Drosophila melanogaster: one gene and its partners. Changing the gene in region 3 together with the main gene of any one other region gives a genetic interaction. Each region holds a gene or a part of one and is shown on either strand. Other genes may lie near its edges.

Region 1 (4,917 bases), 4.3 Mb from region 3:
TATATATGCCTGCTGATTCCTACCAGCTCCCCCAACTTTTTGGGGCGTTCCATTTTAATTATAACAAATGCCAGGCAATTGCACGCCCAAAAAAAATATGAAAATATCAACATAAATCTCTCATAAATTGCGCGAGAGTTCGCAGATAGATATCGATGATATCATATTATGTATGTATGTATGTACATTCAGCAGCCAACAGAAGTGACAAAACCAATATAGTGCCTCAAGTGTGAATCAAGAATTGATCGACTCAAAAGTAGATAACACACAAATTACAAAAGCCCCAGGAGAATTGATAAACGAAAAGTTCGCCTCTGGCGTTCAAGAACAATTCAATTACGAGGAAAATCACCCAAGATCATACACATGTATGTAAGTGGCAATATGGAATATATTTGAGGTTTAGGAATCCAAGATATAGGAAAAAGCTCCCAAGTAACCAAGTAAATCCAAGAACATATAAATATATGTAAGAGAGTAATCAGTGATCTGCGTATGATTTATTGTTGACAAATTGAAAATTTATATGCGAAAAATCACCAAATAGCAAATAGGCGAAGCATGACCAAAAAAAAAACAGTAAATAGTAGATGCTTTGTACCTATTCAAATGGCCTCGAGTGTGAGTGTCCATTTCAGTACCTACTCAATTAATGAACTGCTTTAATTATGCTTGACTTTTCCAATTGTTAATGGCATAAATTATAGGGGATGTTTCTCTATCGATAAAGCTTCAATGTTTCGTTTCAAGTTCTTTTCTTATCGCTCTCATTGAAAACGATCCCAGTTACTGGAGGTTAGCCTCATTGAAAGGGGACTTGAATTTATAAATAATAGTAATAGTCTTTCACATGCAACATGGAAATATTCTCCGATCACCTTGGCCTTGATTTTTTCAAAGTCAAGAATGGCCGAAAATTATCATCACACTGTGCTTGAAATAAAAAAAATAGCTGCGATTACATATCAGCAAAGTGACTTTGGATTTGGTTTCGTTTGCTTAAACATTTATTCTTGAATTAACTTTTGAAATTTGCACTTAAATTTTTTTTTTTTTTTTTTTTTGCTGTTGTGGTCGCCGGTTGATAAAACTTGTTATCAAAAACTCGTACAATTTTAGCAAATATTTTTTATTTAAATACTTTTAATATGTTGTAAGCATGTGAAGTAATATCTTCATCACTTATTGTATCTTGTATCTTTAGCCGGACATCCCCACACCAAAAGGCCAACAAGGGCATTTATTAACTAGCTAATTTTTAATGCTGCTTCAGTTGACGCAGTTTCAGTTTCTGTTATTTCTTTATTTATTTATTATTATTTTTCTTGATACGTTTTTGGGTCGATTCGGGGCGGAGGCATTGCTGTCGACGGCGTTGCTGGGGCGGAACGAACTGCCATATACATATGCATATATGTACATACATATATATAAACCTATTCACAACGATGACGTCGTCGCGATGACCGCATGGTCAAAAGCAAAAACCACAAAAAATAGCGGAGAGAAGTACAAAATGTATATATTTACCTAACTAAACTCAATTCAGTTTGCAATTGAGAATCATTGAAAAAAATTGAAAATCAGTTGTTTCAGATATTGCTAAATTTAAAGAATTTTAAAGTAAATGAATTAAATGGCTTAGACGAAAATAAAACTGAAAACGCTAAAAGATTGTTTGTTTTTTGTATCTTCTAAATTGTAAATGGAAAACCCGTTATCTCTGTACTTGAGGTATGAAATCGAAAGAATTTAGAGAGAAATCGCTAGGAACGTGGAAAGTACATGTGAAAATGCGAGAAGAGCGCCAAAGTGGCGACGAACGAGGGAGAGGGCAAAAAACGTAAAAAGAGCTCAAAAAGTGATCTCTTGAAGCTGCCCCACCTTACACACACACACACACACACACACCAAAACAAGAACACCGACACACGCACACACACATGCCGTAATTCGCGCTCATTGTCTGCGCTCTTCTTCTTCGTCACCATCTTCGCTAGCTGCTAGAAAACCTGTTTTAGAGCCACCAATAAAAATGAAAAGAAAAAAACAGTGTGTGTGGAGTTAAGATTACGCCCTTGGACGAAAACTTGGTTCAAATCCATAATGCTTACCTTTAAGTCATAGAAGCCAGCAGCAGCAACAACAACTAGATGACGGGATTCTGCCAAAAAGCGCTCAAGAATCCAAAACTCAAAACTCAGGTAAGAGAGAGAGAGGAAGGCGGGAGAGGGCGACGCGCCAAAGCGTGAGAGACGGAGCGAGTGAGAAGGAGCCACTCAATAACTCGCTTACGAAGTTTTGGCTTCGTGGTAAATACATATGTACATACAAAAACAACTAGAATACAACAAAAAAATAGGAAAAATAAAAAAAACACAGAGCTTTAAATGTTGAGGTTTTGAGCGCTCTTGTACAGTTAATGGCGCCCATTGTTGCTGTTGTTGTTGCCTTTGCGTGGCTTTTGGCGTCCTCCGATTTGCTCTCCTTCTCCTTTTTTGTTGTCATCGTGTGCTTCGTACAATATTGCATTGCCATTCATTTTTAATCAATTGCATTAATGAAAACCATCAACTATTTAACTTTTTGGGTGCGGCACAGTGTGCAAAGTAAAAAAACAACAAAAAATGAAGGTGGAAGTAACGCAAGGAGACAAACAATTTTGTTTTGGGTTTTTTTTTCTTCCTTTCGTTTGGCAACCAATTTTTCTTATTTTTTTAAAACAATTCCCAGACAAGCACACCCGCACACTCACACACACGAACGCACACTAAAAAAAAAAAGCGAAGGCAGAGCTAAAACCAATTTATATATTGGCGGAGTAAATAAGACAATTTTCTACGCGGCGTCAGTTCGTTTTTTTTCCTCTTTTTTTTACTATTTTATTTTCAATTCCCGGCGCTCACTAACACTAACACCGACGCATATACACACACACTGGGACAGTTATGTTATACACGCGGAATTTTTAGGAAAAAATAAATAAAGTTAGTGCTTAAACACCCAAATAACGATATATATTCGCTCGGCTGCGAATATGTATCGCGGTGTTTTCGGCGTAGTTTTCAGTAAATACGATTTGGCGGACATACACAACCAGCAGCGCGGATATTTTCTTTTCGAATGCGGAGAGGAACTGCCAGCCTCGCGAACGGTAACAATCGGACGCACGGAATGCGGGGTGGCATCACCGACAAACTGGTTTACGGTTATCGATATTTATCTAAGATATACCAACTATCGATTGATTACCAGGGATGCGATATACTTTTAAATAACCTACGCTCTTATCGATATTTGTAACTCTTTAGAGACTCTTATCGATAGTGTGTTCAATGCTACCCATAACATGAATGATATATCGATTGATGAACTGGGCGCCAAAATATTCAAATTCAAATGGTTTTACGTTTTAATTACAATTCTGAGCAACGCTAAACAGAAACATAATTAATTATAAAGATATTGAAACTATTTGGATTTCTTTCGTTTATTCCAACATATTTATTTAATTGGTATTATTGTTTCAAGTATTACACAATATTGATGCCTTTTCTCTTACGTTTTCAATTAATTTATTATTATTATTATTATTATTGTTATAACTAAATATCGATCACATTTCCTTTCAGAACGTCTCTCATTCTCATCATTTTAATCCCTGTTCACTTTTTGATGCGGAGCAGAACGCACAAACTCCTGCATACACACTTCCTTTCCATCGTCCTAACTAATTTGCAATCATATATATCGCAATTCGCGGTTTAATTATTGCTTCTCCTATTTCTTTTTATCGCTCGCGCTCTGCGGGGGGGAAATGGAAAGGGGGATGGAAGGGGACAATGAGAAAAGTAATATTAAAAAAAAAAACAAAATCGAAAGCGAGACTTGCAAAAATCAAATCTGCGCTAATACTACATAATTGGTTAAGTGTAAATTAAGGATTTAAGTAGGCTCTATTTACGTCTACGTTTTGCAATTATTATTTGGCTGTTTAAGGTAATCAAGAGCGAAAGAATCAAGAACCAAAGTGGGAGAAAACAATTTGCGTGGCGTAAATGTTCTTTTAGTAATTCTTCGTCGTCTTTTTCTCCCTATACAATGTATATACTTTTCTTTAAATGTGTATAATATTGTCCTAAAAGCCTTAAAAAATATGACGCAGCGGCCTGCAATTCTACATATGCCTATATATAGCCTGTATATATACCATAATCGCACATAATTTCTCGGTAGAGCAAAAGGAACACAAGCAAAAGCCATGTGAAGAAGGACACAATGTAAAATGATATCATATCTCTTAATATCTCTCGCCTCGAGCATTCGACATGCATCATTAAAAGTTAGTTCGTTTTATAGCGGTTTCCGTTTCCGTTTCCGTTTGGTGTTGGGAGGTTTTTTTTTTTTGTCTTGGATTTAAGATTTTTGGGTGGCTGGAGGAGGCTGGCTATACGTACAATTTCTATGTTTTCTGTATATTTGTTTTAGGTACATAACAGTTCTTTATATTGTATGGTGTGTGTGTATGTGTGGCTGCCTTGTTTATCGTTCTACGTTACTCCGTACTCCCTATTTCGTTAGCTACATTAGTTAGGTGCGTTTAGTGTCTCCATTCCGGATCCGTACTGCATGCCCACCGACATGGTGAAGAGCCACGCCACCGCCAGCAGACTGCTGCCGAGCAGATCGCCCAAGGCCGTCAGGTAGGGTATGGCCGAGTTATCCGGATCGATCTTCCACTTCCACATCGCGTGCACAATGATGTGGGCAATATACAGCAGCAGCATCACCTGAAACGATCGCAGCACATTAGCGTTGTGTTTTCGGAGGGTTTATAATGACATATGTATGTATGTATGTACATACATCAGCAAACGGCCTTAGCATATTCAAAACTCACCTGAACCAAACTGG
Region 2 (4,667 bases), on a different chromosome or scaffold from region 3:
CAAATTCGTCACGTTTTTTTTTTGGGGATTTCATTTTGAGACGCGAAATTAAAGAGCGAAACAGTAACGCCACAAATTTCTCAACTTATAACACAAATTGTCTGGCGGCGTGGCAAAATCAACAAACATTTCACCCAGGATGCGTAACGAAAATTCAATTAAAAATGCTAATGTATCTGAAGAGGATGGTAGGTGAAGGGGGGGGGGGGAAGGGTTCCTACAAAATCGGAGACCCGAAGGTCTGGGGCCTGGACTCACATTGCATTGGCCGGACCATAAAAATATAAATCTTTAATGAGCGAAACCCATATAGCATGTGCATATATATAAGACCGCAAAGTAAACATATGCATATGCCGGAAAATACAATATTATGTATAATGTGGGTTCTGGCTCGGAAATACAATGGTGCGCACTGTGTGGTCTTGCATTTAGTTATCAAATTGCTGGAATTTGCATAAAAATCAATAAACTCTGCACAAATAACCCGGCTGGCAGTTCAATTAAATATTCAAGTGATTTTCTGTGACAATACCGAATCGGTTTTCGTCAACTTGGGTGATTTATCTCAGCCCAACAAGGCTCCATTTAAGACCCGGTTGACAGCTCTTGTTAAAGACATTGAGGGACATTGAGATAAAAGGAGCAGAAACGCAGCAGGGAAGCTGACAAATTGACGGCCCATGGCCCACACACAAATGGAGGAGCTCCGGGTTCCCAAAAAAACAAATTCATTGTCGATAAATTGCTGCCAGACCTGTGAAATTTACGCACATTCATGGGGGAGGCAGAAATTATTAATGGTGGCGAAAGACCAAAATACCAAACCAAAGTCTCTTTGTCGCGCTGTCTTATTTGTACAATAATATTTAATTGCAAGATTTGCACAAGAAAATTTATTAAAGGCAATGGGATGAGCAGAATGTGGGTGTGTCGGCATAAACAATCCAGATCCAATGTTTTCGTATCTGTATCGCCAACCGTATATGGCTTTCGGACTTTTTTGGGGATTTAAAAGCATTCGCCAAATATGGCAAATTGAATGATGTGCGAGGGAAAAGCCACATTCACAATCATCGATTATGACAATTTTATTTGCCCAGCTTTTGTGGTTTTTTATTGTTTGCGAATTGGATACAATGCGTAATCTTACATTACATTATATTGATCGTCGTTCTCGGAGTCGCTGAAATAGGCCTGATATTCATAATAAAGAAACATATCAATTTACAATGATTATTATCATGTGAAATGTTTAATATACGTTTTAAATGGTTCTAGTTTTATTATTCAAGGTAATTTATCTGACCATGATGAGTACAAACACTCTAGTATCTTTAGGACACATTTTTTTTTTATTTCAGTGTAGCCTACTAACCGGATTTTCTCTCCCTCAATAAGCAATTGCGGTTAAGATAATGTTAAGGTGCCATATGGCAATATGTGTCGTAAGAAAAGCAAACAATGCATTCAATTCAAAAATTAGCAGACTTTAGAAATTTAAATTCCATTCGATAATAAGTGTTATCTGATGGCAAAAAAAAAGAAAATAAAAGTCAACGTAGTATATAATATCCCAGAAAAGCTGAAAAGCCAATACGAAATACAAGCTCATTTAAATGGCGCACAAACAAAACGAAAAGCCAACAGTGAATCCAAAGTCAAATGAAGGAAAACGAAATTATGAATATCCATGCGAAACAATGCGAGTTGTCAAAAGAAAACTCAATGGAAAAGAAAGGGGAAAACCCACTTGAAATGCATTTCCCTGGAGAAGTCTTTACTCCCCTCCCTTGTGATGTGCTTGTACATTTTATTGGTGTTTTTTTTTTTTTTGTGAGAGTCGAGAAGCATTAAATGTTTTTCTTTATTTTTAGACACTAAATGGCCAATGCCAAAACACACATGACGTATGCGTAATATGGAAATACCTCTGGCGCACACAACCGTTTCGCTTTCCTTGACATCCAACAAAATTGTTACTTGTACATCACAGATTCAAATGGGCTTTACGATCAGACTGGATTGCACAAGCAAACTAGTTGTATATTTCTTAATGGCCTGCAGTTTGTTTACAAATTGGCGACAATAAAAACTATTAAGACAATTCGAAAGGCCAGAAGAAAACTCGGGGCGCTCCAAAAGATCAGGGAAGGCAGATGCACAGCTAGGCAAATAAAAACAAATTATAAATAAACGCCAATAAATAGAAATGAGCGTTTCGTTGGAAAACTGTGTCGCTGTGTCACGTCGGCACATTTCCCACTGCGCGTTTTAAATAGCCCCAAAATAAAATACACAACGCGTCTGTGTCGCGCGTTTTGCATACCTTCAATTTCAATTTCAATCTTCTAAATGCCAAACAACTCTAAAACTAAAACTAAAATAAAATAAAAACAAACATGGCTGTGTACTTTGGCTTTTGAGTTGCAACTTGTTTTTGAGGTGGAAATTTGCACCTCAGGGGAAAATGCATCAAAGAAGAGAAAAGTTTAAAAATCAATTGATAAGAGAAAATTAATTTTAAAATATTTCTAGCTAAAAACTCCACAAAAGCTATTTTGAATCTGCTCTTTGAGCTGAAACTTTTTTTTGCCTTTCAAACATATATGAAAATTCTGTTTGCGGAAAAATAAGCAAACCATTTTATTCCGGCTATTTAACTTCTGACACAACACTTGGCAATGCGGAAATTTTTAAAATAAATTAACACAATTAAGCATTCAAGTACTCAATTCTTAAATTACCAAAAATTAGCAAAATAAGCCTAGTTTGTTACCTTTAAGCTGCAACCTATTTTGTGTGTAAAACTAGCACTTCAGGCTTTTAAACACTTGAACCCGAGGGCACAAAAATCGGGAAAAACAATTGAATGTATTTTCACCGGCACTCGCACTCGCACTCGCACTCGATTCGACTCGTCAGCACTTTATACTACTTGGTACTATATATCTCGTACGATGTCGCGATTTTTCCGTCGCCGATTTTGTGGCGTTCTAGCTCGCTGCGCTTGCGGTTCTGCACTGGATCGTCAAGTCAACCGATTCGACTGTTTTCTTCACTCAAGTTGTTCGGGAAGTGAGAGATCGGATCGATCGATCGTTTGAGTCGAATCCACTCGTGTCTTTATAACTTGAGTGTTTCTTGCGGCAGTCGGGCGATCAAAAGCGCCATAAATTCGCCCCAAATGAGTGGAAAGTGGAGGAGAGTCGATTGCATTTTTCTTTGCGTTTATTTTGTTACCTTGGCAGCTTTATTAATTGCGTGCAGGGGCCTGGTTTATGCTCTCGGCCATATAATAGCATACAATATGCATAGTTGTAGTTACTTGGCGCCATGGCCAAAAAGAGATCGCCACACGAAACGGCAGAGAATAGCGCATCTGTCAGGCCGCAAATCAACTAATAATTCAGCTATGCCCAGTCGTAAACTCGCCAGAGATCCAACTTCCTCTTCCTCTGACCATGTGGCGCACACACGTGCTGTTGCTCCGGTCATGCTTCATATCATACTCCATGCTCCACCTACAGCACGTTGCCATAATCTGCATACCCGACCCGGTAACGCCACCGCACTACAGATCTACACGGCGAGAAACGGTTGGGGATACTTAACGTTGCACTACTGATGGCTTAAGAATATTATAATAATATTACAAAATTATAAGATTTAATATAATAGGGTTTTACAATTGTGATCAGTATAGTGGTCTGTGCCAATGTTGAAACTTATTTAAATCGTTTTCTTCCTGTGCACTTATACACCAGACACCACTGTCAATCGATGAACCCGCTTCAGGGCACTACGAATGCGTCACAGTGCATATTTTAAGTCCGCTGATATAACCGAGATGCAGTTCCCTAGACGGTGGGTACTCAGGCGGAACACGTAGCAGCTTCCAAGAATGCTGGCTATGTGGGGGTGTGACGTCTCATTCTGATAGTCACTCTTATTCTCGGTCCAGATACATCTCAGATACCTATATATATTTATGTTCATTGAGAGATTTCTCGCACTCTGTTTGTTTGGGGCTTTCTGTCAACAGGACGGTCTTTCATCGGCGGCAATTGCGACAATTCTTCGAGCTGCGTCATGGTTGTTATGGTTTTCCATTTGGTTTTATTTTGATTTATTCATTCTCTGCCAATGCAACACAAAATTAAGCCCATGTGTTTACTTGTGATTTATCAACTGTTTAAATATGGCTTTGGGTCTGGGAGAGATGATTAACAAGGGTAATCGGTTGGCGATTTGCATATATAAATGTAATAACCATGAGCAACGATGTAAAATTAATAAAATGCGAATTAGTCAAATATTTGAGGGCTGGGCATTGTTGCTGTTGCATATTTAATAGTGATTTGCATGCGCCATTAATAACTATAAGGTATTTTCATGAAATGTTCCTGCCTGACTAATGATCGAGGATTCTTGGAATTCGTCTGGCAAATCAAAAGAAAATTTCCATGGCCAGATTCGTGATCGGAATGAGGGCAAAAACAACCAATGAATTTGGCACTTATCCAATGGATTAATAAGCATCGCCCCTTGATTTCCGCAGAAAATAAAATGAGAAAAAATGGAAGTAAAGAGCTCATCGGTATATTGTAATTTATAGAATTTCAATCAGACAGTGAAAAACATATTGTGATTGCCTCGGTGTCTTT
Region 3 (4,942 bases):
GCTTAGTTTTTTCTTTTCAAAGGAGAAGCGGCCATAAATTTTCGACTTTAGCACAATTCGTGCGTTTGGGTTCTATTTCTAATTATAATACCAAATTGAAAAGCACATATTGGGAATTCGGGGAGCGTTTTTATACCCGTACTCACCTATTAAAGAGCAGCTGCAGAGGAGCAGCGCCAAAAAGACGCCGACTGAATTTGGCGGCAATTCACCCATTTTTATCGCTGTTTTTGCAGTTGTAGTAGTTTTCTAGTTTTCCCCGCTCGCAAATAGCTCTCGTTTTAACTTCTTTGGTTTGTTTACGGTTGCACACGAAAAAAATGTTTAAAAAATTTCAGTTTGTTTTCGCTGCTCGTGATTGCACAAATTATTCTATTCTGATTAACACTTTGCGTTCGGTGTCTTTTGTTTTTTTTTCTTTTGTCTGTTTCGGTGTGTGAATCTGAAAGTATATTGATAATGAAAGAAAGATGAATTAGCTAAGCTTTTAATAGTAATATAGATAGGGTTTTTTTTTAGTTTAAATTCATGGTAACTGGCTTTTGTGGTTAGTCAGATTGGGCCTTAGAAGTTCATCTGCATTTGATATTTGTCATAACTTTAGCATTTTAGCTTCAAATGGCAAATGTTGGCATTTATGGGCGAGGAGAAGAGGAAGAAGGCAGTGCAAGCGAGACAGCGCGAGCCGATGTTGTGTGCGTGTGTGCCTTGTCTCTTTTGCATTCTCTAAAATCGGCGGCGGCAGCGAAGAAGAAAAAAAATGAGAAAGGAAAACGAAGAAAATAAAACTTGCTGCGCCGCCGACTTCGCACATGTTGGCCAGTTTTTGTAACGGAAATTACGGTGCTCTCGGCAGTCGAAACACGTAGTGCAGGGGAAATATGGTAGGAGCAACACAGACACAAGGGGTAAGGGAGGGAAGGGGGGCTTTGGATAAGGTAGGAGAGGATTGCTTAAGCTGAATTTTATCTATAAGTTTGTGTTCTCAGTAGATCGTTATCTTTTGGGTTCGAGAGCGAAATGTATATTTCTTATCGGCACATAAGTTCGTGCGTCTCTCCAATAATTCATGACTCAAGCTTTGTCTCTCTCGCTCTCTTTCGCCTTCTCTCTCTCTCTATGTCTACTGAAGTTGCACCTATGCTGAGTGTCCTTGAATTGCAACAAGTTCTAAAGTACAGTTATCGCTCGCTTTAGAGAATATCGTAAACCAAATAAAAAACGGTTGAGTTATAGAATTGAACGTGACTTCAATGCAATGACTAATAATAAAGGTAGAATAAGTGATCAATAAAAGTTAATTTTCATTTACAGTGACGCCTTGCAAGCAGTGCTCTTTTTTTTTTTTTTTTGAAAACTCATAACAGTCCTAGCAACAAAAAATATTTGCATGCAGGCGAGGGAAAACTGTAGTTACTTCCTCGCGAGCTCGTCTTGCCACTAATCCCGCCCACTTTGCACAGCGGAACTTTCCCACCGCACCCCCTCATTTGGCTTACGGTTATTACAGTTACTGGATAATCGATATTTAGGGCAGGCCTTGACTTTTTTTTTCATAGGAACCGCGCGTATGTGTGTCTGCGGCACGCGAAATATTCTTGAGAATATTTCGCTTTCATCTCGCTTCATTCTTGCTTTTGGCAAATTGAGACATTGTTACAAAATACCCGCGAAGCAGTTTTAAATATTCATAAAGTTTCGAAAACGCTAATTATAATGAGAGACTTGGCCAGAGGGGAAGTTCTGGCAACGGTAGAGTTTTTGTGAATCTGTTCAAGTTGCACAAAGTTTAGAAGTTTTCCACTTGATATTCGTGAATTATTAATGCTGTCAAATGATTTGATTTTGACTTTCGGCGCGACCGACAAATTGTAATTACATCTGCCGTTTTGATTGCCTAGAATTGGACGAACTCAATAGGATTTTGTAGTCTTAATTAAAATATGGCTCGGTTAGGTTTGATAAAACGCAATAAACTAATTTATTAATGCGAAACTAACATCTTGTTCGAAAAACTGCCAAAAGTAAAGCGGCAAAAGTTTTCAAATAAGCACTCTATGAAGTCGATGAAGTTAATTTACCAACTTTGAGTTTATTCCGACTTGTTAACAGTTTAAACAAATATTTTTAATCACATTAAAACTTTTGCAGAAAGCCGCAGCAAACGAAATAAACTTTTTGATATGCGACATAAAGGCAATTTTGACAGACAAAGGAAAAACGAAACCGACTGAAATTGGTCGTGAAATTTGAGAATCTATTCTTTTCTATTTTTTTTTTTTTTTGTTCTGTGGTTAACATTCCAGATTAGTTGTGGAATCAATTTGCCCGGCTTTTCCTAATTCTTAACGTGTTTCTTTTTTGTATGTTTCATATTTCCTATTTGCCAGCTGCAAGCGTGAGTCAATTTCCAGTGCACACTGTTGGTAGTAACAACAATAAAGTTGGCAGCGAAGCGGGCCCAAAAACCTGTTTTCCGTTTTATTTTTCTTGCTTTTCAGGTGATGTTGCTCTTTTTTTTCATATTTGTTGTATGCACTTTTCCAACTCGATTATTGGGTGAGTTTTCAAAGGGTTTTCATGGAGGTTTTCATTGAAATAACTTTTGCACGTGACTCATTGGAATCTTGGGCTAAAACAACAAAACAGCATAGACTCAGCAGAGCGAGAGAGATACATTTGTGTATTTTTTGTCACACGCTAAAAAAAAAGTTTTGAAAAAAAAAATATGTACAAGAATGCCGCCAGTTTATTTTTGGTTTTTGTGGAGCTGTCTCGACATGTTTTTTGAGTTCTTCTCATGCACGGCCAAATAATGGCTGTTATGAGCAGTTATTATTATTATTTATTATTACCAATTTCTCATTGTTTAACTGGCACACTAACACACACGCACACGACGCGCCACGACCGTTAACACATACGGTGAAGAGAGCGCGAGAGAATGCGAGTATGAAGAAGAAGAACCACTTCTGTTGTCTCTATTTGTGTTTTTCTTTCTCTCAGCAAGCAGAGCACTCGACGCGTTGGCCGTCGAAACGTAACTGAAAGCACCGCTAGCGCTGCCGCCGCAAAATACCACAGCTATTGCCGCGCCACAAGATCTGGCAACCCCAAATGTTGCCAGCCGATGCGACGCAGCATGTTGCCAACCGAAAGTAATCAAGCAAGGGAGATGGTAGAAGTTTAAGAAGTAAAGTGCATAGATAATAGCAATTTATAAAACCGAAAATCTGAGCTCTTTTAAAATGAAATTAATTTACATAAATAACGTAATAAGTGCACAGGAATATTAATATCAGTTATTGGCCAAATATGTTTTCAGTGGAGACTAAAAGAGATGGAGAGTGTCTACCGTTAGGCGGCGAAGAATTCAGCTCTTTTCTTCTCGAGTGTCAGCAAGGTCAAACGACAATGGGCGGAGAAACTGGGCGGTGGCACTTAAGCCCCATTTCGTCACTTTTACGAGCGACTGGTGTCAGGTTTTTTGACACGTTTTTGTTGCCCAATCTTTGTGGAGCTTTGTCAACAAACTTTCAGAACGAAGCATTAAAAATGTAACTACTTTATTCGGGGGCACATTTAAAAGAGCTACACGTATGTACATATATTACGCAAAGTGTGCTATCGCGAGGAGATGATGTCTAGCTAAGGTTTTTCCGATTGATATGCAAGATGAAAATCTCACACTTCGATAAGTTTTGTAAGAATATTCGGGAACACTATCTAAACATCCTTCGAAGTTAGCAGCATGTTGCCGAAACCTCTTGCAACATTTCGAAATGAGGAAAACCAAAGTTTAACGTCTTATTTTTCGGCACAGCATTTTACGATCTTGCTGTCGAAGTAACCGACGAATGCTGGGGGGAAAATCGGGCGGGTATGCAAGACGAATTTTCCGGCTGGCAACATTTCGGATATTTCGGAGACGGCCACTTGTTGCCCGCGCAACATCGAGATTCGATTCCAAACAAAAACTTCTTTTATTTTCAATTGCCGCGCTGTCAATTAAACCAGCCTGCGGAAAAATCGTGACGAGGGGGGTGATTTTCCCCGGTTAAGTGGAAACAAAAAAAAAAATCGCAGTTACGTTTGAATGCGCTGTGTGCAATTTACTAAATGAAATTGCGTATAGATGCCAATGCGATGTATTCTGCAGTTATCATTGTTGTTTTGTTTCGTTTGTCGTTTGTGTGACGGAGCAATTTATCACCGTATACAGAGGGGATATATGTACCTACATATATCTATATACCAGCGACACCCCTCCCCCGCCAGAATCACCAATAAGTGATTTATAGGATTGTTATTTTGTCGTTGATGTCGCACTTTCGCTGCGCTTTATTTATTGCTCGGAATCTTCCTCTATCTCCCACACACAAAACAAAAACCCGATACGCCCGATTCGCCCGATTTGGAGTGCGTTAATTTTATTTCACAGCCGGCCGAATTTTCCGAACTTTTCACAGATGAATATTGAATTGATCGGCTGGCTGTGGGAACTATGGTGACAATCGTTCTTCACGCTTAATTTGCTAATGCGTTCGACCTTTGACCCATGATGTGCCAACGATGTGAACATTTTGGCTATCAACAAATAGGATTTAACACGATTGCATTTAAATGTATTGGCGATTTAAAAAGCAAGAATGTAATATAAAGAAATTAGAACATAAATATAAATAAATAAGTAATTATTTTAAGAATCTTTGGTCTTGGCACCAGTAATCTGATGTAAAAACAAAGGAAATATGCCCATTTCCCGCCGAGAACTGCAATTATTTAACAATTATGGGAACCAGTGAACAATGGCGATAGTTTATATGTTGTTCAAGCCTACTTGAAATGGTTTCGCCTGACCTGTGACCCCGAAATCCGACTATCTGCTACCTGATTTGAAGCCAGCCAGCCAGACAAATGAAGACGTCGATTTAGTTTTCGG

The links. A genetic interaction does not mean that the proteins touch.
Region 1: of Fas2 (region 3) and Nrg, changing one enhances a phenotype caused by changing the other (phenotypic enhancement), as found in Drosophila melanogaster (one study listed by BioGRID).
Region 2: of Fas2 (region 3) and Timp, changing one suppresses a phenotype caused by changing the other (phenotypic suppression), as found in Drosophila melanogaster (one study listed by BioGRID).

The regions. Positions count from the first base shown.
Region 1 is NC_004354.4:8,515,599-8,520,515, reverse strand, and holds the start of Nrg (neuroglian), read right to left. Parts: upstream 3,029-4,917; 5' UTR 3,007-3,028; exon of another isoform or gene 2,118-3,006; intron 1-2,117. Other genes in the region: CG33181 (uncharacterized protein), read right to left, coding at 4,590-4,793, 4,904-4,917. UniProt on the Drosophila melanogaster protein: Essential for septate junctions. Septate junctions, which are the equivalent of vertebrate tight junctions, are characterized by regular arrays of transverse structures that span the intermembrane space and form a physical barrier to diffusion.
Region 2 is NT_033777.3:10,209,980-10,214,646, forward strand, and holds the start of Timp (tissue inhibitor of metalloproteases), read right to left. Parts: upstream 3,029-4,667; 5' UTR 2,780-3,028; intron 1-2,779. UniProt on the Drosophila melanogaster protein: Metalloproteinase inhibitor that acts on both matrix metalloproteinases Mmp1 and Mmp2 in vitro. Complexes with metalloproteinases and irreversibly inactivates them by binding to their catalytic zinc cofactor.
Region 3 is NC_004354.4:4,203,045-4,207,986, forward strand, and holds the start of Fas2 (fasciclin 2), read right to left. Parts: upstream 3,050-4,942; 5' UTR 2,856-3,049; intron 443-2,855; 5' UTR 217-442; coding exon 147-216; intron 1-146.